2 linked regions of the Stegostoma tigrinum genome follow. Each later gene encodes a partner of the first gene's protein in a complex. Links are inferred from orthologs where the notes say so. Each region holds a gene or a part of one and is shown on either strand. Other genes may lie near its edges.

Region 1 (11,638 bases):
ACATGGAGGGCAGAAACACACTAAACCACTAGGGAAAGCTATCAGCGTTCTTTATGAACTTCCACTGAAAGATGTGAAAAGGAGCAATGTGCTCATGAATTGTCAGTCTGTAGACTTACTCATTGAGCAAGCAATCAGAATTGTATCTGAGCTTTATTCTGCCTGTGGAAATAGCAGTGTCACATCAATGAGAGAGGAGTAGAGACACAGCACAGTATTAAAGTGTCAGTAATGTACACTGCACATTACAAAACTTTTATACATACTGATATTTCCTACAGCTGACTAGGCACAAATCTGTTAAATATGCCTTGTGACATCAGCATTGTTTTGTAGGATTTAATTCAATACACACTCGTTTGTTAGCACAGAGCTCGAACGTTACTGAAAGAACATGACACATTTCTAAGCCTTTCATCTCAGGTTAATTCAGAGAAATACCATATATAGCAAACACGATCATTGACAGGTCAGAATATCGTGAAGAGTGGGAGGTCATTTCATCGAATAACCAATCAGCACTCTCTCATGCTGCATATGTGTCAGTTTTGCCCACAAATTGTTCTGGCAAGTGCAGAATGAAACCTTTCGCAGAACATGACTTCTTTTCAACAAAATACAAGCATTATCACCCCAACTGAAGGCAATATTGGACAAGTCAAATTCCAGCAAAAACCCTGGTTTGTTAAAACATAAGCTTTAGTTTTATCATATTGATTATTATGGTGGTCAGTCACTGAACATGTGCACACAAGGCTGTCACTGTACTTTTAGCAATTGAAGTTTATTGCACAAAAAGAAAAAAAGCAAAGCTTAAACAGCAAATGGAATAAGCCATTTTCTCTGCAATATTCTTTATACAGAACCTAAGTGAAGTATCAGTCCTAACTTCACTTTAGCATTTCTTACGGGACTAACAAGATTTTGAGGGATCCGTCTTGGCAGCTTTCTACATATCCACCAGATGTATTTTTTCCAAATCTGTCTCTCCCTGAGACACAGACAGGCTACTACAACAACTCTGCTCTAATTTTCACTAACTTGAGATGGCTAAAACTTCTTAAAATTTCAATCCAGCTGTTGACCTGAAGACATCCAATGGCTAAAATTTACCCTTCTACTGGAATGGTCTTTTCTTCTGAACTCAACCTGCTTTTGGTCCCCAGTCAACTGTCTTTTGTGTAGGTTGTAAAAGTTCCACTGGGCAAACAACCCAGCCGTTATCTCCACTGGCAACTCGCAACATCTAAAGTATGTCACGTGCTTTCTCTCATGTCTCTATTCACTGAATGAAATTACTTTGGTGACCCTTAAGAAAAATCAGAACTTAAAAAGGACTGAAAACCAAAACCTAATTTATCTCATTCTACTTTTGAATCCAAGATCCCAAATATAAGATTACATTTAACATGTTCATCACACATCTCACCAACCATTTCTAATTGGTTTCTCTCAAAATTTCCTCCAATCACCAAATGTATTTTGTGTTAATATATTTACATTAAACACAAGGGTTTTTACAACAACCATGTTCTATACAAGTTCATTCCATTCACGACATTCATTGTTTTTTATATTTGCTATTGACAAAGCAAACTGTGCTTTCACTAATTGGAATTATTTTCAACTTATATGCTTGTCACATTGAACTACAGTGAAAGTCTCAGATTTTGATTTGGAAATCAAACAATCATCATTGAATGATAGAATCCCTACAGTGGGGAAGAAGGCCATTCAGCCGATTGAGTCTGCACCAACCCTCCAAAGAGCATCCCACCCAGATCCACCCCACCTACCTTATCCCTTTGACTCTGTACTTCCAATGGCTAATCCACTTAGTTTGCACATCCTTGGATGATATGGGCAATTCAGCATGGCCAATCCACCTGACCTGCACATCTCTGGACTGTTTGAGGAAACCCGCGCAGACACAGGGAGAATGTGCAAACTCTACAGTCGCCCGAGGGTGGAATCAAACCAGGGGAGCCTGGTGTTGAGGCAGCAGTGCCAACCACTGAGCCACTGTCCTGTCTCCCGGAAATGCTCCAGGAAGATTAGTGGGTTGAGATCTCTATAAATAAATCTGCAGAGTTGTTCACTATTCTATTGTGATTCTAGCTGATGGTTATAATGGACAAGTCAAATTTCAGAATAAATGTGGCTTGATAAGACCGTATATGTTTTTCTTATTTAACATGGCTGTACTTTACTGTAACATAAGCACACAAGTTTTGTTCTTATCAATAAAGTTTATTACACAAATGAGTTCAGAAGAAATAGGTACACAGGATTTGGAGCTAGTTAGGATTTGGTATCGGAGTCTTGGATGATCTCAAGTTTATGAAACACAAAATATGGGGCAGAAGCCAGAAATACAATAGAATGATTAAGTATGAAGGTTTCAAGAACAGAAGACCGGATGTAGGTATGGAAATGAGCAAGGTTACAGAGGTGGAAACAGGTAATCTTTTATACAGTTTAGATACCCACACAGATACATTACTAAAATTGCAGTTTGGTTCAGCCTCAGGTAGTTGCTGAAGAGAATGGTCAAATCAGTGGCAATAACCAAAGAAACTAACACCTAGAGATTTATTTATTACACAGGAGGAAGCAACAGGGATTGAAATGCCTATTTCAGTTCATACGGTCTTAGGCTATCTGGCCCATCATGTTCATGCTAGTGATAAAGTATGCATTCAGTCTAATCCCACTTTCTAGTTTTTGATCCTTGAAGATTACAGTACTTAGTATTTTTTAAACTGTGATGAAGGTCTGTATCTTTGCCATATTTTCAGTCAGTGAATTTAGACATCCCCCATTGCCTAATTCTCAATTCTTGCCATCATCCCCAGAAACAAATCTGCTCGGTGCCCTTTCTGATGTGATTTCATTCTCCCTGTAATGCAGTGACCGGAACTCTATGCAGTACTGCAGCTATGGCCCAACTAGTTTTCTTTTAAACAATGCTCCTATAACTTCCCTACTCTCATAGTCAGTTCTCTGCAAATAAAGGAAGGTATCCCCCAACTACCAATCATATCACCTCTACATTTCCCTTTAAGTCTCTCCTACTATAGGACACTGCTCAAAACCTGCTAGCCTTAAGGGATGTACAGACATGTACCCAAGGATCCTTATTATTCCTCTCCACTTCTCACAGCACCTACACTATTCCCTCTTTTCTGCACTAAGCCTTGAATGTTGTGAGATTTTAACACCTCTATTAAATCTTTCCTTGGCCTTTCTTCCAAAGGAGAACAACACCCGACTTCACCGGTCTCACACAGCACTGGGTATGTTGGTCTTTGTAGCACTTAATATTCAGAAACTCAAAATCATTCATGGATTACACAAGCTACTGCTTTCAAGCTAGCTACATTTTACAGCCAATGTCTGGTGCAAGCCAAACTCTATGTTTTCACTAGCCTTAAACATTTGCAATCTATCTAAATCCACCGTATCTGATCAGGACAACCAAGCTATGGAAAGAAATATGGATTGTTTATGTCAAGAATGCAAATCAAACTGTATGCACCATATCTAATGATAAGGGAAAAGCTTGTGGCTTGCAACTGGATGTTTTTAAACCACTTAGTTTTTTTTTTACAAGGTACATAATGTTAAAATAACATGGAGGTTATGGTGGTAAGATAGAGCTGTGGGTTGTTAGCAGAAATGTCACAACTAACTATATCTTTACTGATGTGTTGTGGAAAAGCAGCACGTAGACGGGAAAAAGGAGGGATCCAAAAATAGATCCCTGGTAACTACACATGAATGGGAATCAAATCCCACTGACAACAATTCTTTAGCTATAATTACGCAAGCAAGAATAGAACCAGGCAAGTGCAGTCACAGACACCTGGCAGCTAACGATGACACATTGGAAGAAGGCTGTAGAAGGGTCGAGAAAATAAATAGTTCACCTTCGTCATAATCACACATGATGCAATCTTTGGACAACAACTGTTTTGATATTTTTCAAAACTCCATTATGAATGAATAAAAAGGAGTTTATATTGCCTTTGAAGCAACTGAGGATTTATTCACAGGGAGTATATTTAATACCTATACTTACTATTTGATGCTTTGTTTGCCAAACATAATAAATTAGGAATTCATAGTACAATGGAATGTAACTGAAATTCTATCATAATCCAGTCCCTCACTCTCCTGTCTAAGGAGCACTTAGAATTACATAAAATGTGAATTGCAAAAGCAGACCCAGCCTGTTCAACTTTTCCGAGATACAAACTGAGTTTCAGTACCATCTGTATCAATCCAACTTTTAATGCCTTGCCCACTGCCTCTAGATTTTTTTTTAAAAGTACGATTAAACTACAAATGCCATGTGCAGCCAATGTTCCACAAACCTTTAATATAACTTTATATTCTGAGGAAGGGTCACTGGACCCAAAATGTTCACTCTGATTTATCTCAGCAGATGCTGCCAGACCTGCTGGGCTTTTCCAGCAACTTCTGTTTTTAATGTAACTTTGCTTTTCGGCCTTACTCTTGAAATGAGCCAATTTTGGATCATTAACTGGTTTCGTTGACCCCTAACCTTGATCTTAATTTGAGAACTTCAGCCCCTAGATCCCCTTGCTCCTTTTGATAAGTTTGGGCTCCTTTTCCAACTTGATTCCGTGATTCCACCCACCAAAAGCTGCAACCTCAAGGCGGAACCTTTATAACTCCAGATATATGCAGCATGTACGCTGCAAATATCGCTCACGGCCCTCTCCATCCCCGGGCTCAGTTACTCACGGGACATCCTGGTCAGCACATTTTTCGGGGCCCGCTCCCTCCTGAGGGGCCTGGGCCTGTCGTCGCTGCTCTGCTCGGCCACCATCAGCTTCTTGAGGCGCTCGATCCTGTCGGGGTCCGGGGGAGGCCAGGCGGCATTGCGGCGGCGCCCGCGGGCCCTGTGGCAGCCGGGGGCCTGGGCCTGGGCCGGGTCCCCGGGCTCCTGCTGCTGCCGCCGCCTCAGGAAGCTCTGGTACTCGGCAATGTTGTTGAAGGTGCGGACGTTGGGGAAAGGCAGCGGCGGCGGCAGTCTGCTGTACAGCGCCAAGTACGGGTCAAAACGCGGAGAGCTGACATTCAGCCGCCCGGCCTCGTCCTCCTCCGGCCCGGGCTCTGAGCTCTCGGTCTCCGCCATTTCCCAGTGGCTCGCTCTCTCCCCGCCGCTAAGATAGCGTACTTTAACTGGCCGCCATCTTGGGTCCACTCGCGCTGGGCATTATGGGACGGAAACGAAAAGCTGGAGAAAGGCGGCAGCGGTTGTGAAGCATGCGGGTGTTCTTGTGTCACGCTCGACTCAAAACGTTAACTCTCTTCCCCTGTCCATAGATACTGTCAGATTTGATGAGATTTTCCATCACTCTATTGAGTATTAAAACAGATCCATTGGTCCAACTTGTCTATGCCAACCAAGTTTCCCAAACTGTCCCAGTTGCCTGATTTTAGCCTTTCCTGTACATATCACTATCCAGATTCCTTTATGTGCATCTACAACTTCCTCTTTCGATTTCCAGAACCTGCAGTATTTTGCTTTTATCCGAGCATTGTGTGACCTTCTCCACCTCAAACCAGGATTTGTCTTTCAGACAGCACCTCGCAGCAAGTCCCAAAGTGACTACCCTCGCGGACTTTCCTTTCCAAAACAAAATAAAATCAAATGGGCTGTCACTGTTGCCCGGAAAGGCCACTGCCAATCTGAACAAAGCACCAACTCACAGACCAGGCCACATACTTTGTTACTTTGGAACCATGCTGGGGATCGGATTAATAAATGTTCAGAGACTGTCTCTGATCTTCACATAGGCTCACATGAACCTTTGATATTGACCTGAGGATAGATGGAGCCTCAGTGTATTCAGAAGATGGCTTCCCAGACTCTAGACTGAATGTCAAACAAGACTAGGTGCTCAAATTTCAAAGTAGGTCTTGAATCCATCATCTCTTGCCACAAAACCAATAGAACAAATCCCAAACAGTTTGATTGTATCTTGAATTTACATAACACCCTTGTTCAAAACCCATCAAAGCTCCTCATAGTTAATTAGCTTTTTTTTTCCAATTGCAGTCACTATCTTGCAGTAGCCAATTTGCGCATAGAAAGATGTCTAACTGGTAACAGCCAAATCACAAGAAACCCTCAGACCCACTCAAAATAAATTATGAGATACACATATTTTAAAAATTATTACAATCCACCTTTCCCGGCCCCAAAAGCTATTGATTCACAATATAAGGTCACACTTACTACAAGGAAGGTGTCCAGTTAGTTACTTAAATAAAAACAAAATGCTGGAAATACTCAGCACGTCTAGAGACACCTGTTGAGAGGGAAGCAGAGTTAACAGAGAGTTCGGTCTGATTTCAGAAGAAGTCATTTCGACTCAGAGTATCCAAGAATAGACCTAACACCTGCCACATGTAGATTAATGATGACAATGTGAATTAAGTTTTTTTTAAAACTCACGTTGGGTCCTTCATCTCTTTCTGCAGACCCAGTCTAGCAGCAATGTCCTTTAAGTCTCAGCCAATAGTGTTGCTATTGATCGGTTCTTGGTGATGAACACTGAAGTCTCCTGGTGTCCTCAAAGTAGTGTTTAACGTGGAGGAGTATTTGTTCCTCAGCTAAGTGGCAGTAAATGGTACATTAACAGCATGTTTCCTTGCCCATGTTTGACCCAATGCTACGAGATCTGGACTCAGCATTGATGTTGTCCAGGGCAACTCCCAATTATATAATATTGTTCCACCACAGCTGATAGGATACTACATTCCCAGGGTTGGAAGTGATGGTGTCTGGCACATAATCATGGAATTATACCTTACAGATAATGGCCACCTGTTGCATGATAAGGGTGTGGGAGACCTCACCCAATTTCAATCCACCCTTCCAGATCTTAAGGAAAACTTTGCAGGATTGACAGAGCTGAGCTTATGATTGTTGGTTTAGTGCCTAGATTGACGTAGGAAGTGTGTTTGAATAATTCACTTGTTTAAACTTTATAATGACTTGATATAACTGAGAGCCTTGCTAGGCCATTTCAAACGGCAGTTAAGGATCAATCACATTGCTGTGGATCTGAAGTCACATGCAAGTCAGACAAGGAAAAGATAGATCTCCTACAGAAGAATTTCCCTTCTTACAAACTGAAGTCATTCTTGAGAAGAGTATCTGGCTAGAGCGATATTCCTCCAGATGTTGAATAGAGGCAGTCACCTTGTTGCAGCATATGTGATTACAAGCAATGCCAACTGTATGTACAACTCTCCTGTGAATAATTTATGTTGCCTTTCACTCCTCCAGGCTGAAGCCTCTTCCAGCATATTCTTCCGTGTGATAACTGACAGTGGGACACCTAACAAATGGTCAAAGGGGGCCAGTAACTCGGCATACTTTAGTCTATTCTGCTTTACACCTGTGAATTTTTCTGGTTGGCTGATTGAACCAAGTCCAACTATTATTTGCCAGTCCTCGTACAAATGAGGTGTCAGAATCATTCCACTTTGACTTGGAGCCTGGTTGTATATCGAAGGACTGAAACCCTCCTAGAGGAAGTTGGCTACTTTAGTTCATAAGAAAGGAGATTCTTCTGCAGAAGAATCTCCTTACAAGTGGCAACTCAGCTAACTGAACCAGTTATGCCAATCAAAAATATATATAGAATATATACAAAACAGGAGAAAGCCTAGGTGATCTCAGATCTTTGAAGAACTTCAAGGTTTCTGTAAGCCTCTGTATGGATTGTGCCAATGCCTGTTTGTTTGGAATCTTGCAAGGAGAGCAAAGGAAGCAGCAGAATCAGTCTTAAACAAAAACTAAAATATCTGGGACTGTTCAATAAATAAACTTCCTTTTGGGAAGGAGATTTTTTTTAAAAATGTGTTAAGTGAATCAGATGGGATTTTATGATATTCATCAATTGTTACATGGTTGTCAATATACTCACTTTTAATTCCAAATCTCTTTTTAATTTACGTATTGCTTTCTATGACAAAGGAATGTGAACTCACATTGCCAGAAAATGAACTTCAATTTATGGATTGATAGTCCAGTGATATAACCATAATGATCTCATTAAAACTTACACAATTGTTACAAGATGGACGGAGACAAGATGTTTCCCTGACTGGGAGTCTAAAAACCATGGACATAATATGAGGAAAAGGCATCTAAGACTAAGATGAGGAGGAATTTCTTCAAACAGAAGATGGTGAATATTTGAAATTCTCTACTCCTGTTTAGGGCTAGAACCACAAAAGTTTGTGAAACCTAATCCTTATGAACAGAAATCAAGCACATGAATTGAAAATAAGTTACCCAGCACAAATTCAATTCCCTTGCCAGCTAGGCAATTCCTCTTCCCAAATTTTGTCTGTGGCCCAACCAGGCTGCTCACAACGTTGGTATCCTACCTGAACTCACGTGAGCTTCAGTCTTTCCTCTCCCATCACCAAGTCGTCCAACTCCATAAGAGTACCTGACTCTACGCCTATCCTAGATCTTCCACTGCTGAAATCCTCAATGTCTTTGATACTACTTAGACCTGACTGTTCTAATGCTGTCCTGGCTGGTCCTTTACTTTGCACCATCTGTATGCTCAAATTTGCCCAGAACTCTGCCATCCATAACTAAACCCACAACAATTCCTGTCACCCATTCTATTATCACTGGTCCACCTTAGAATCCATCTAGAAATATGACATGGTAATTTTAAATCAAGTCTCTTGAGGACATTGCTGTATAAAGACTTCGGGACTCTGCAGCAATCTTGTGATAACGTCATAGAAGCACACTGAGCATAAATAGCACTGGTGAGTGGAGTTAGAAAACACAAGGTTAGAACTCTAGGCAGAAAGAATAAAGCACTAGACATGAACATACAAAGACAGTTACATTCATTACAGGCTAATCTAAGTCAAGTAGTATTTAATAAAAGTACACTGAAATGTTCATTTGAAGTCGAAGGCTGAGCAATACTTGACTTTTTCTTCTCCTCAATTAGTCTATCCCTAACCCAAACTCAGTGTGGCATAAGACTGCATCATAAAAGGGATCTAGGAAGCAGGACTGAAAGAAAGGAGAACAAGTAGATGCAGTGTATTTGAAGTTCCAAAATGGAATTCAAGAAGGTGCCAGGTAAGAACATAGGAGAAGGCCATTCTGCCCCTTGAAATGTGCTCCTAGGTATTGGCTAATGATTAATGCCATTTTCCAACACTATCCCCATTTCCTTAATGGCATTAGTAATTAGAAAAAACTGTCATTGAGGTTGGTTGGCTGGTTTGTTGTTCCGCAGACATTTTGTTACCATGCTTGGTAACATCCTCAATGCAGCCTCTGACAAAGCATTGTTTTTCCGCCTGGTTTTTAAACTCTGGGGTCCATTATGACAGACATTTAAAAACCAGGCGGGAAAATACACCAATTCTTCAGAGGCTGCACTGCGGATGTTACCAAGCACTGTAACAAAACATCTGCGGAACAACAAACCAAATCAACCTCAGCACCCACAACCTGAGCTACAGATCTACTCCAAAACCTTAGGAGAAAACTGTCACTTACTAGCTTGAAAGTGATTTAGCTTCCACCGCCCTTTGGGGTAGAGAATCCCAAAGGTTCACCTCTGTCTGAATGAAGATTTCTTTCTTCATCTTAGTCCTAAATGACCCCTGTTCCTAGATGTCTTATCTGCATTGAGTTCATCTATCCCTTAAGGAATTTTGCATTTTTCCAAGATCGCCTCTCATTCTTCAGAACACTACAGGCCCAGGATCTTCAATCTCACCTCATAGGAAAGTTCCACCATCCCAGAAATCAGTTTAGTCAAAATGCAACTGAGTTCACAAATATATCCTCCATGAAGCAAAGTGACCAGAGCTTCATTCAGTACCCCAGGTGTGATTCACCAGTGATCCATACAAATTAAGAGAGATTTATTTGCTCCTGCACTCAGAACATTATAAAATTGGTACACAGGGGAGGCAATGACCTAGTGGTCTAATCAGTAGGCTATTAATCCAGAAACTCAGCTAACATTCTAGGAAATCAGGTTTGAATCTGACCATGGCAATTGGTGGACCTTAAATTCAATTTTTAAAAATCCAGAATTAAGAATCCGCTGATGGACATGGAACCATTGCAGATTGTCAGGAAAACCCATCTGGCTCACTAATGCCCTTCAGGGAAGGAAATCTGTTACCTCCCAGTTGCCCTCTAAAGTGGCTTGTGTGTGTGCAGGAGGGTGGTGCAGAGGAGGTTCACTAGGTTGATTCCAGAGTTGAGGGGGTTACATGAGGAGAGATTGAGTAGACAGAACAGACACATTGGAATTTTACACAAATGAGGAGGGGATCTTATAGAAACATAAAATTGTCAGAAATAGATAAGTTAGAAGCAGGAAGGTTGTTTCCACTGCGGGGGGGGGGGGGGGGGGTGAAATTAGAAGCAGGGGACAGAGTCTCAATATAAGGGGGCTGGAGGGGAAAGAGGAGATTGGAGGTCCCTTACCAAGAGTGGCTCAGCAGCAGCAGCAACAGCACTACTGGTCTGATCATAAAGAACATAGCTGCTGGACGGGGTTTGCAGCTGGTGCAGGACTAAAGATGGAAAAACATAGTTGACCTCTTCCTTATCAATCTGCCTGCTGCACATGGAACTGTCCATGACAGAATTGGTAAGAGTGACCACTGCAGAGTCCTTGTGGAGACAAAGTGTTGCCTTCACATTGAGAATATCCTCCATTGTGTTGCGTGGCACTGTAACCGAGCTAAACGGGACACACTGCACGCAGATCAAGCAACTCAAGGCTGGACATTTATGAAGCACTGTGGATCATCCAACAAGAACAGTTGTACTCCAGCACAATCTGCAACCTCACAGATTGCCCTATCTCCTACCCAGCCAGTAGATTACCACCTTGTCAATCTACTCTCAAATCAAGGAAACATTGGAAAACAGTGCTATCAAGCAGCACCTACTCAGCAATAACCTACTAACTGAAGCCCAGTTTGGGCTCTGCCAGACCCACTTAACTCCTGACCTCCTGGTTCAAACATGGACAAAACAACTGGGCTCCAGAGATCAGGTGAGAGTTGACATACCTTGACATCAAAACTACATTCAACTAAATGTGGGATCAAGGAGTCAGAGCAAAACAGGAATCAATACATATTCGGGGGAAATTCTCTGCTGGTTGGAGTCATACTTGGCACGTAGAATGACTGTTGTGCTTGTTGGAGATCAATTATCTCAGCTTCAGGACATCTCTGCAGGAGTTCCTGAGTGTTGTGTCTCAGAACCCACATATTCAATGGTGTTCCCATTACTGAAACCCCCACTATCAACATCTTTGGGGTTATGATTTACCAGAAACTCAACTAGACTCGCGAAATAAGCACAGTGGCCACAGTAGCAGGTCAGAGACTAGGAATACTGAGTGACTAACTCACCTCATGGTTCCCCAAAACTCATCCAGCATCTAGAAGACTCAAGTCAGAAATGTGATGGAATACTCCCCACTTGCCCGGATTGGTGCAGCCGCAACAATACTCAACAATCTTGACACTATCCAGGACAAAGCAGCCCACTTGATTGGCACCATATCCACAAGCACCC
Region 2 (9,370 bases), on another chromosome or scaffold:
ATTCGGTTGTTGGTAAGATTTGCGCCCATTATTAAGGCTGAGATTGCAAAGTAAATGGAATGCATGGTAAAAGAAGGGTGAGTCAGCTTGGTTTCATTAAGGGGAAGTATTGCCTGACCCATCCGTTAGAATTCTTCGAAGAGGTAACAAGCAGGTTAGACAGGGAGCCAAATGGATGTGATTTATTTGCATTTCCAAATAGATGCTGCTAAATAGGGTAGAGCCAATAGTGTTAGGGGCAAGTACTGGCAAGGATAGATTGTCTGACTGGCAGAAGCAGAGTGGACATAAAGCAGTCTTTTTCAGAATGGTAGCCAGTGACCAGTAGAGTTCTGCAGAGGTCAGAATTGGGACCATAAATATTCACATTATACATTAACAATCTGGATAAAGGAACTGAGGCCGTTGTTGCTAAGTTTACATATGGCACAAAGCTAGGTGGAGGGACAGACAGTGTTGAGGAAGTGGGGAAGTTGCAGAAGAACTTGAACAGGCTAGAAGAGTGGGCAAAGTGGAATGATGGAATACAATGTGGGAATGTGCACTTATGCATTTGATACCAAGAATAGAGGCATAAACTATTTTCTAAACAGGTAAAGACTTAAGAAATCTGCAGCTCAAAGGGATTGAGAGTCCTAGTTAGGATTCTCTAGGTTAACACATAGGTTCAACAGCAATGATGTACTATTAACAGTATATAAGGCTTGGGTCAGACTGCATTTGGAATATTGAGAGAAGTTTTGGGCCTCATATCTATGGAAAAATGTGCTGGTTTTGGAGACGGTCCAGAGAAGGTTATGAGAATGATCCCAGGAATCATATGAGGACAGGTTCGAAATCTTATTGAAGCTTACAGAATATTGAAAGGCCTGGATAGAGTGGATGTGGAGAGGATGTTTTCACTTGTGGAAGAGAATAGGATCCAAGGGAACAGCCTCAGAGCGAAGATAATGACTTAGGATTGACACAAGGAGGAATTACTTCAGCCAGAGGGTGGTTAATCTGTGGAACTCACTGCCACAAAAGGCTGTGAGGCCAAGTTATTGAATATATTTCAGACAGACATAGATAGGTTCTTGATTAGTAAGGGAATCAAGGATTATGGAAAGAAGGCAGGAGAATGGGACGAGAATGATACCAGCTCTGATTGAATAGTAGAGCAGACTCAATGGCCTGAATGACGTAATGGTGTAATAGCAGTGTCAGTACAACTAACTTGAGATCCATACAGTTGCTGACCAGCACTTTCTCAAGGGAAATTAGAAATCAACAATAAATACTAGCCTTGTTAACAATTTAGGGATGAATAAGAAAGGCTAGTTCTGCACTAACTGAAAATGCACCCAACTAGTGTGAACATCTCCAGCATAACTTGTAAAATTTACTCTTAAAACGCCAGACACTGACTCGAGTCCAGTTGGAGAAAGATGCCTTTCCCTCTGCTGAGCAGGAGAGCTTCCTGCCCCACATAACCCAAAATCCAAGTCATCACTGAACTACCTCCAAACAAAATCACCCTTTTTGAGGGGAGAGAGAATGAGAAAAGAATGATATAAATTTGTGTTGAGCTTCAAGTATGTACAGTGACTACAAAATTGTTATGTTTGCTCAGCACGGTCACTGGTTTAGAAGTGCTTGCTATCAGCTGAATTAAATGACCACACCTATGACAAACACTTAAGACTCTGTCCTTGCCAACACAAACTCTGGATTGGGTTCCCTACCATGTGACCTAAGGGGAGACACACATGGACAATCTATTCACTTATGGGGGCATCAATGTTAAAAGAAGATATTCATTCAAGCATATCATTGTATTGAATTGTCAGTATGGGTATGATTTGCCTGTAGTATAATGGTAATGACTGCAACGGAGTAACTGACACATGATGGGAGCATTTTCTTCTGCCGTTCATTCTATTTACAAAGCACTGCTTGGAGAGGAGACAGACCAGTGACAATACTAACCATCATTCATTATTGTCAGTGTTTGATTCAAATACACAGGGATCCTGCTGATCTACACAACAGGCAGACAGAAACCATGGATATGGCAGCATGGATTCTCAAGTGTTTCAGGAAATCTAACTGAATTATCCAATCATCTATTAGGAGCACAGACATAAACACAGCAGCAGTGTTTGAGATAGAGATAGAACTTGTATTTGTATATCATCCTTCCACATCTAAAAGAAAACTTAGAATACTTCAACTATGAAGAAATACAAGGAATGTGAAGTGCACGTCACTGAACTGTTTTGGGATGCAGCAGCTGTACAACACAGCAAGATCCCAAGCTAAAATTAATTTCCATTCTTCCAAAACTGCCAATGGAGCTGTACTGTCACGTTAACCACTGAAACAGTTGATACTGTGGTAAGATGGCAAATCCAACAATGCCCACAAGTGTCCCTTAGTGCTGTTCTAGAATACAACTGGCCCACACATTTTTCAGTGGAGTGTGAAAGTATAACTTTACAACATGGCGATAAGGATTGCTGCCAGTCTTACCAGACCAATTGGGCAGGCATACAAATCCACAGCCACACTGATCAGTCCCATTCTCCAGTGATCCCTAATATCCTGTGCCCAAACACCACTCCAGCCTCACCCCCAAATACCAGCCAGTCCTGATCGCCACACTCCACACCGCCACCCAGTCCAATTATCTACCCAACCACTGCCCAATACTCCCCAATCAGATGCCCACTCTCTAGCCTAAATAAACACTCTCTCCAAACACCAGTCTGGCTATCCATCCCCCTGAAAAAAAAATCCAGTTCAGATACCCACCCACCCTCCCCAAAACATCAAGTTCAGACAGCCAACACACCAGCCTTTGCAAACAATGCACAGTCATAATATTTACACACACAGCCCCAAACACCATACAGCCATGGTATTTAGCCCTGCACACACCACTTAGTCCTGATGATCAGTCTCTCAAACAGCACACAGTCCTTATAACCCCCACCCAAACACCATCCAGTCCTCAGAAATCCTAAAGACTGCACTGTCCTGATACAAACCCCAACATCACTGAGTTCTGATCTTGTCCTTTATTTCCCCCATATGCATCACCAAGTTTTGATAGCACATCTCAGGATCAGCACATTGCTACTTTCTTGATGGAAATTCTCTCCTCCCTCGATCTTTTCCTCCAAAGTTACGCACTCGGTGGATTTTCTGCAGTTGGTTCTGGACAGTCTCAATTATATCAATCTCATCTGGGATGTGAACGTAACGTACATTTCTGCCAGTCACAAAGAAGTCATCCAGGTTTGACACTCTGCCCTGTCTGTCAGTGTATATAACTTCAGCTAGCCGGATGTTCATGAATGCATCAACATTCACAAAGCGTCCCCTCACTGAGCTCTCGTCTTTAAGCTCCACAGTGGTAACGTGGTTATGTATCCCCTGGAGAAGGATGATGAGGCTGTTCTCTGCAATTGTTCGTTCTTTAATAGAATGGCTCAATGCCATAATGCTGGCTCACAAACTCTGAATCAGTTGAAAGACGAGTACCAGACCTAACAGTCCCTCCAGCTGGTAGAACTGCATGGAAAAAAAGAAACAGATCATGTGGATAGTTTTCATCTAAAACACATTAATTTCAATTTTGTCAGGTCGCATCAGTGGTCAAATTCTGCCTTGATGTCAAGGGTGATCACTGTCACTTCCCCCAGCTCGTGCACATGTTCAAAATGATTGTAAAATGTGAGGCTGGATGAACACAGCAGGCCAAGCGGCATCTCAGGAGCACAAAAGCTGACGTTTCGGGCCTAGACCCTTCATCAGAGAGGGGGATGGGGAGAGGGAACTGGAATAAATAGGGAGAGAGGGGGAGGCGGACCGAAGATGGAGAGTAAAGAAGATAGGTGGAGAGAGTGTAGGTGGGGAGGTAGGGAGGGGATAGGTCAGTCCAGGGGAGACGGACAGGTCAAGGAGGTGGGATGAGGTTAGTAGGTAGATGGGGGTGCGGCTTGGGGTGGGAGGAAGGGATGGGTGAGAGGAAGAACCGGTTAGGGAGGCAGAGACAGGTTGGACTGGTTTTGGGATGCAGTGGGTAGGGGGGGAAGAGCTGGGCTGGTTGTGTGGTGCAGTGGGGGGAGGGGACGAACTGGGCTGGTTTAGGGATGCAGTAGGGGAAGGGGAGATTTTGAAACTGGTGAAGTCCACATTGATACCATATGGCTGCAGGGTTCCCAGGCGGAATATGAGTTGCTGTTCCTGCAACCTTCGGGTGGCATCATTGTGGCAGTGCAGGAGGCCCATGATGGACATGTCATCTAGAGAATGGGAGGGGGAGTGGAAATGGTTTGCGACTGGGAGGTGCAGTTGTTTGTTGCGAACTGAGTGGAGGTGTTCTGCAAAGCGGTCCCCAAGCCTCCGCTTGGTTTCCCCAATGTAGAGGAAGCCGCACCGGGTACAGTGGATGCGGTATACCACATTGGCAGATGTGCAGGTGAACCTCTGCTTAATGTGGAATGTCATCTTGGGGCCTGGGATGGGGGTGAGGGAGGAGGTGTGGGGACAAGTGTAGCATTTCTTGCGGTTGCAGGGGAAGGTGCCGGGTGTGGTGGGGTTGGAGGGCAGTGTGGAGCGAACAAGGGAGTCACGGAGAGAGTGGTCTCTCCGGAAAGCAGACAGGGGAGGGGATGGAAAAATGTCTTGGGTGGTGGGGTCGGATTGTAAATGGCGGAAGTGTCGGAGGATAATGCGTTGTATCCAGAGGTTGGTAGGGTGGTGTGTGAGAACGAGGGGGATCCTCTTGGGGCGGTTGTGGCAGGGGCGGGGTGTGAGGGATGTGTTGCGGGAAATACGGGAGACGCGGTCAAGGGCGTTCTCGATCACTGTGGGGGGAAAGTTGCGGTCCTTAAAGAACTTGGACATCTGGGATGTGCGGGAGTGGAATGTCTTATCGTGGGAGCAGATGCGGCGGAGGCGGAGGAATTGGGAATAGGGGATGGAATTTTTGCAGGAGGGTGGGTGGGAGGAGGTGTATTCTAGGTAGCTGTGGGAGTCGGTGGGCTTGAAATGGACATCAGTTACAAGCTGGTTGCCTGAGATGGAGACTGAGAGGTCCAGGGAGGTGAGGGATGTGCTGGAGATGGCCCAGGTGAACTGAAGGTTGGGGTGGAAGATGTTGGTGAAGTGGATGAACTGTTCGAGCTCCTCTGGGGAGCAAGAGGTGGCACCGATACAGTCATCAATGTACCGGAGGAAGTGGGGTTTGGGGCCTGTGTAGGTGCGGAAGAAGGAACCTCTAATTCAAAATGATTGTGCCTTCCACTAGGCTCCTAGATTAGTACAATGAGAATTCACACGACACCGGGTTATAGTCCAACAGGTTTATGTGAAATCACAAGCATTTCTGAGTCTTGCCCCTTTGCAGGCGTTACCTGCTGCTGCGCCGGAAGCTTGTGATTTATAATAAACCTGTTGGATTATAACCTGTGTTGTGTGAATTCTGACCTTGTCCACCCCAGTCCTGCACCGGCATCTTCACATCGTGAACACAAGCTGAGCATCATGATGAGTCACCCTCATCATTATTTAGGTAATCTGCCACTTGCTGATTTCCAAAGGCAGTTGGTCTCTATCTGCGTTGATCCTTAAGGGACCCAATTATGGTCATTCATCCCATTCACTAACAGACAGCGAGTGGACACGGATCTCCCGAAGGGTTGGTCAAACCATGGACGCTGTTCCCTAAGTGGACACTGGTGTCCCGGGGACGGAGGCAGTGGACAGCCCGCACCCTCAAAGTTGGGATTGCCGATGAGCCCTCGGGCCGGACAGGATCGATTCTCCGTTGAGTCACTCACCCTTCGCCGTCGGCAACCCCACTGAGAAGGCCGCGTCTCCCTGGTAACGGCAACTTCCGTTTCGGGGCTGTGGGCGGGGCATGAACCGGAATTGTGCGTCGGTATCGGCCCGCTCCAGTGACGCAATGGGCCTTGTGCTCGGAAGTGAGAGCACGTGACTCAGTTCCTAGTCCGGGCTATTTGTATCAGAATGTGGTATCGGGGTAGTCGTAATGAGGGAGATATAACCCATAGGAAGGAAACCAAGAAAACGTAGACCATTCGATCGATTTCGAGCAAAACTTCATCTGTTCTTTCCAGTGTTGGTAGGGATTCTATTCTAAATGAAGGCCAAACGTGGTGTTAATTAGTGTTAAAATGGACGTATGTTGCAGCATCTCATTTTTCCTGCAGCTTTTACGACTCCATATCGAGTTCAATTTTCTCCCATGTCTTTAGACACCAGACCTAATTTACACATGGGGTGCTACCACAAACAGAAACAGAAGATACATGCCCCTATCTACATGAACAGAGCTGAGGTTAGGAGGGTGAAGAGCATCAAGTTTCCTCAGTATGACAATAACTGACAACCTGCCCTGGACTTCCTACACAAATGCAATAGTCAATAAGGTACAACAATGCTTCTTCTTCCTCAGGCAGCTCAGGAAATTTGATATTACCATAAGATCCCTCACCAATTTCTACAGTTGTACTGTTGAAAACATACCGTTTGGGTGCATAATAGCCCAGTATGGCAACTGCTCTGCCCAGGACTGTACACAACTAGAGAAAGTGGTGTGCACAGCCCAGCCCATCACAGAAGCTAATCTTGCATCCAGGGATTCTACTTACACATCTCACTACTGCAGAAAGGCAGCCAACATCAGCAAAGATCCGAGATAATGGGAACTGCAGATGCTAGAGAATCCAAGATAACAAAGTGTGGAACTGGATGAACACAGCAGGCCAAGCAGCATCTCAGGAACAAAGTGTGGAGCTGGATGAACACAGCAGGCCAAGCAGCATCTCAGCTCTGATGAAGGGTCTAGGCCCGAAACGTCAGCTTTTGTGCTCCTGAGATGCTGCTTGGCCTGCTGTGTTCATCCAGCTCCTCACTTTGTTATCAGCAAAGATCCATCGCATGCTGGTAATGATCTCCTATGATCTCTTCCGTTAGGCAGAAGATACAAAAGCCTGAATACATGCACATGCAGGTTGAGGAACGGCTTCTTTCTGGCCATTATCAGACTGTTGAATGGACTCTAACCGCAAATAACATAACCTATATGCCTCTAAGTCTTTTTGATCTATACATCCTTTGCTTGCTCTGAACTGCCTGTACCATTTGTAAACAAAGCTTTTCACTGTATTTCGTTACATGTCACAATAAATCGAGCAGGAGGAGGCTATACGGTTCTTCAAGCTTGCTCTACCATTCATCACGATCAATGGCTAATCAACCAACTCAATAACCTAATCCTGCTTTCTCCCCAGTCCTATGTCTATCACTTGAATTCATCTGGTGGACAAGGACAGCCCGGTCCCACTTCACATTCTCCTCTCCTAATTTATAGCCATTCAGGTAGTAATCATCATCATCAAATCCCTACAGTTTGGAAACAGGCCCTTTGGCCCAATAAGTTCACACCAACCCTCAGACTATCCCACCCAGATCCATCCCCGTAAGATCCATCTAATCTACCCATCCCTGAACACTACAGGCAATTTAGCATGGCCAATCCACCTAGCCCCTACATCTTTGGACTGTGGGAGGAAACTGGAGCACCCCAGAGGAAACCCAAGCAGACATGGGGAGAATGCAAAATCTCCACACAGACAGACGCCCGATGGTGGGATCGAACCCGGCTCCCTGGCACTGTGATAAATTTCTGAAGAAGGGTCCAGACGCGAAACATCAGCTTTCCTGCTCCTCTGATGCTGCCTGGCTGCTGTGTTCAACCAGCTCTGCACCTTGTTAACTCAGACCCCAGCATCGACAGTTCCTACTGTCTCCTACTGTATATACTAGCCTTTTCCAAGCCAAAAGCAGTTCTGAAAAAGGATCACTGGATCTGAAACATTAACTCTGCTTTCTCTCCACAGAAGCTGCCAGACCTGCTGATTTTACACCCCCCCCCAGCAATTTCTGATTTTATTACTGATTTCCAACATCTGCAGTTCATTGGTTCTTTTTTCAAAATTACCAAAACCTTACAATATCAGAGAAAATAGGCTACGTTCTATTCAAAGTCAAATGAATAAACTTAATACACATTGTTAATATTGTTTGTTTGTAGCAAAATCTAGGGTATGATGAATAACTTTTGTAAGAATTCATAGTGATGCAGAAATCAGAATTCTGAGAGAATGCCATATTGACAATACGCACAGTTCCACAGCTTTGTTCCATACAGCTGGTCCAAAATATCAGATCCAGCAACTCAACACTGAGCATTCATGAGGCACTGTGAACCATCAACAGCAGCAGAATTATACCCCAGTAAATATGCAACCTCATGGTCCAGCATTTCCCAGCATATCCCCACTCATCCATTACCATCAAGACAAGTTCAACGGAGACAGAAGAGGCCATGTTAGGGAGCAGCATCAGACATACCTAAAAAGTATTGAATAGCTTCTGGGAGTTCACGCACACTATGTCTACTCTATTACCTCTTCAAAAAACTCCAAAGAGTTTGTTACACACAATATTCATTCATCAAATCCACGATGATTCTCCCAAATTAACCTTTTTTTAAACTGTGACTGACAATCAAATCCTGAATAATTGTTTCTTGAAGCTCCCCCACCATCTGAATTAAACTGGCTGGTCTGTAATTGCTGGATCCAGGTTGATGTTCTTTATTAAACAAGGCGTGATATTTGTAATTTTCCAGTCTTCCAGCACCACCCCAAAATCCTAGAATCTTCAGAGAATTATCAAAACTAACTTGTGGCAGCATATTAGATATTATGTTGGCCAACTAAAAAGGCTTTATTGATGAAATGAATATGCTCATGGAAACTCTTTTAGAATTACCTGTGATACTAAGGTTGTGAAACTGAATTATGCTTCAATAGTTGCCAGAGAATGGACTGATTCAGTGGCAAAACAACTGAAATTGTAACAAGGAAGGAAAACAATGGCTTCAGTTTCCAAATTTTTACTTGGAAGAACTTTCTGCTGAAGTCTGACAAGTAGCGTGAGACATCAGAGACAGGCAGTGGGAAACCTGGTATTGAAGTAGAGCTGGGTATTAGCACACCTAAGGACGTAATAAGTCTGAATGTTGCAAGTGGAAACATTGTTTGTAGGTCAGATACAGGCATGCAAAATATCATACAAATGAGAAAACTATTCAAAATAAATGCATATGTTTCATTATTGCTCAGTAACTAAAGATGTCCCTAGGGTCCTGGCCTGTGGCCCCCCTTGAGGCACATCAGAACTGAGGTTACAGCAGGTTTTAATTTTCTTCTGCAGTTTTCATAAAGTGTTGCTTGTTAGGCGAGGGTTTGTCAAGGGTGACACTGGATTGATAGGTGTTCAGTTTTAGATG

The links. The genes of interacting proteins can lie anywhere in the genome.
Region 2: lsm11 (region 1) and U7 snRNA-associated Sm-like protein LSm10 share a complex: the UniProt entries of both Homo sapiens proteins name them as parts of the heptameric ring U7 snRNP complex. The link is inferred for Stegostoma tigrinum from reciprocal best matches to the Homo sapiens genes LSM11 and LSM10.

Annotation. Positions count from the first base shown.
Region 1 is NC_081366.1:70,407,326-70,418,963, forward strand, and holds the start of lsm11 (U7 snRNA-associated Sm-like protein LSm11), read right to left. Parts: upstream 5,233-11,638; 5' UTR 5,165-5,232; coding exon 4,771-5,164; intron 1-4,770. UniProt on the Homo sapiens protein: Component of the U7 snRNP complex that is involved in the histone 3'-end pre-mRNA processing. Increases U7 snRNA levels but not histone 3'-end pre-mRNA processing activity, when overexpressed. Required for cell cycle progression from G1 to S phases.
Region 2 is NC_081377.1:5,964,243-5,973,612, forward strand, and holds U7 snRNA-associated Sm-like protein LSm10, read right to left. Parts: upstream 3,484-9,370; coding exon 3,118-3,483; 3' UTR 2,808-3,117; downstream 1-2,807. UniProt on the Homo sapiens protein: Appears to function in the U7 snRNP complex that is involved in histone 3'-end processing. Increases U7 snRNA levels but not histone 3'-end pre-mRNA processing activity, when overexpressed. Required for cell cycle progression from G1 to S phases.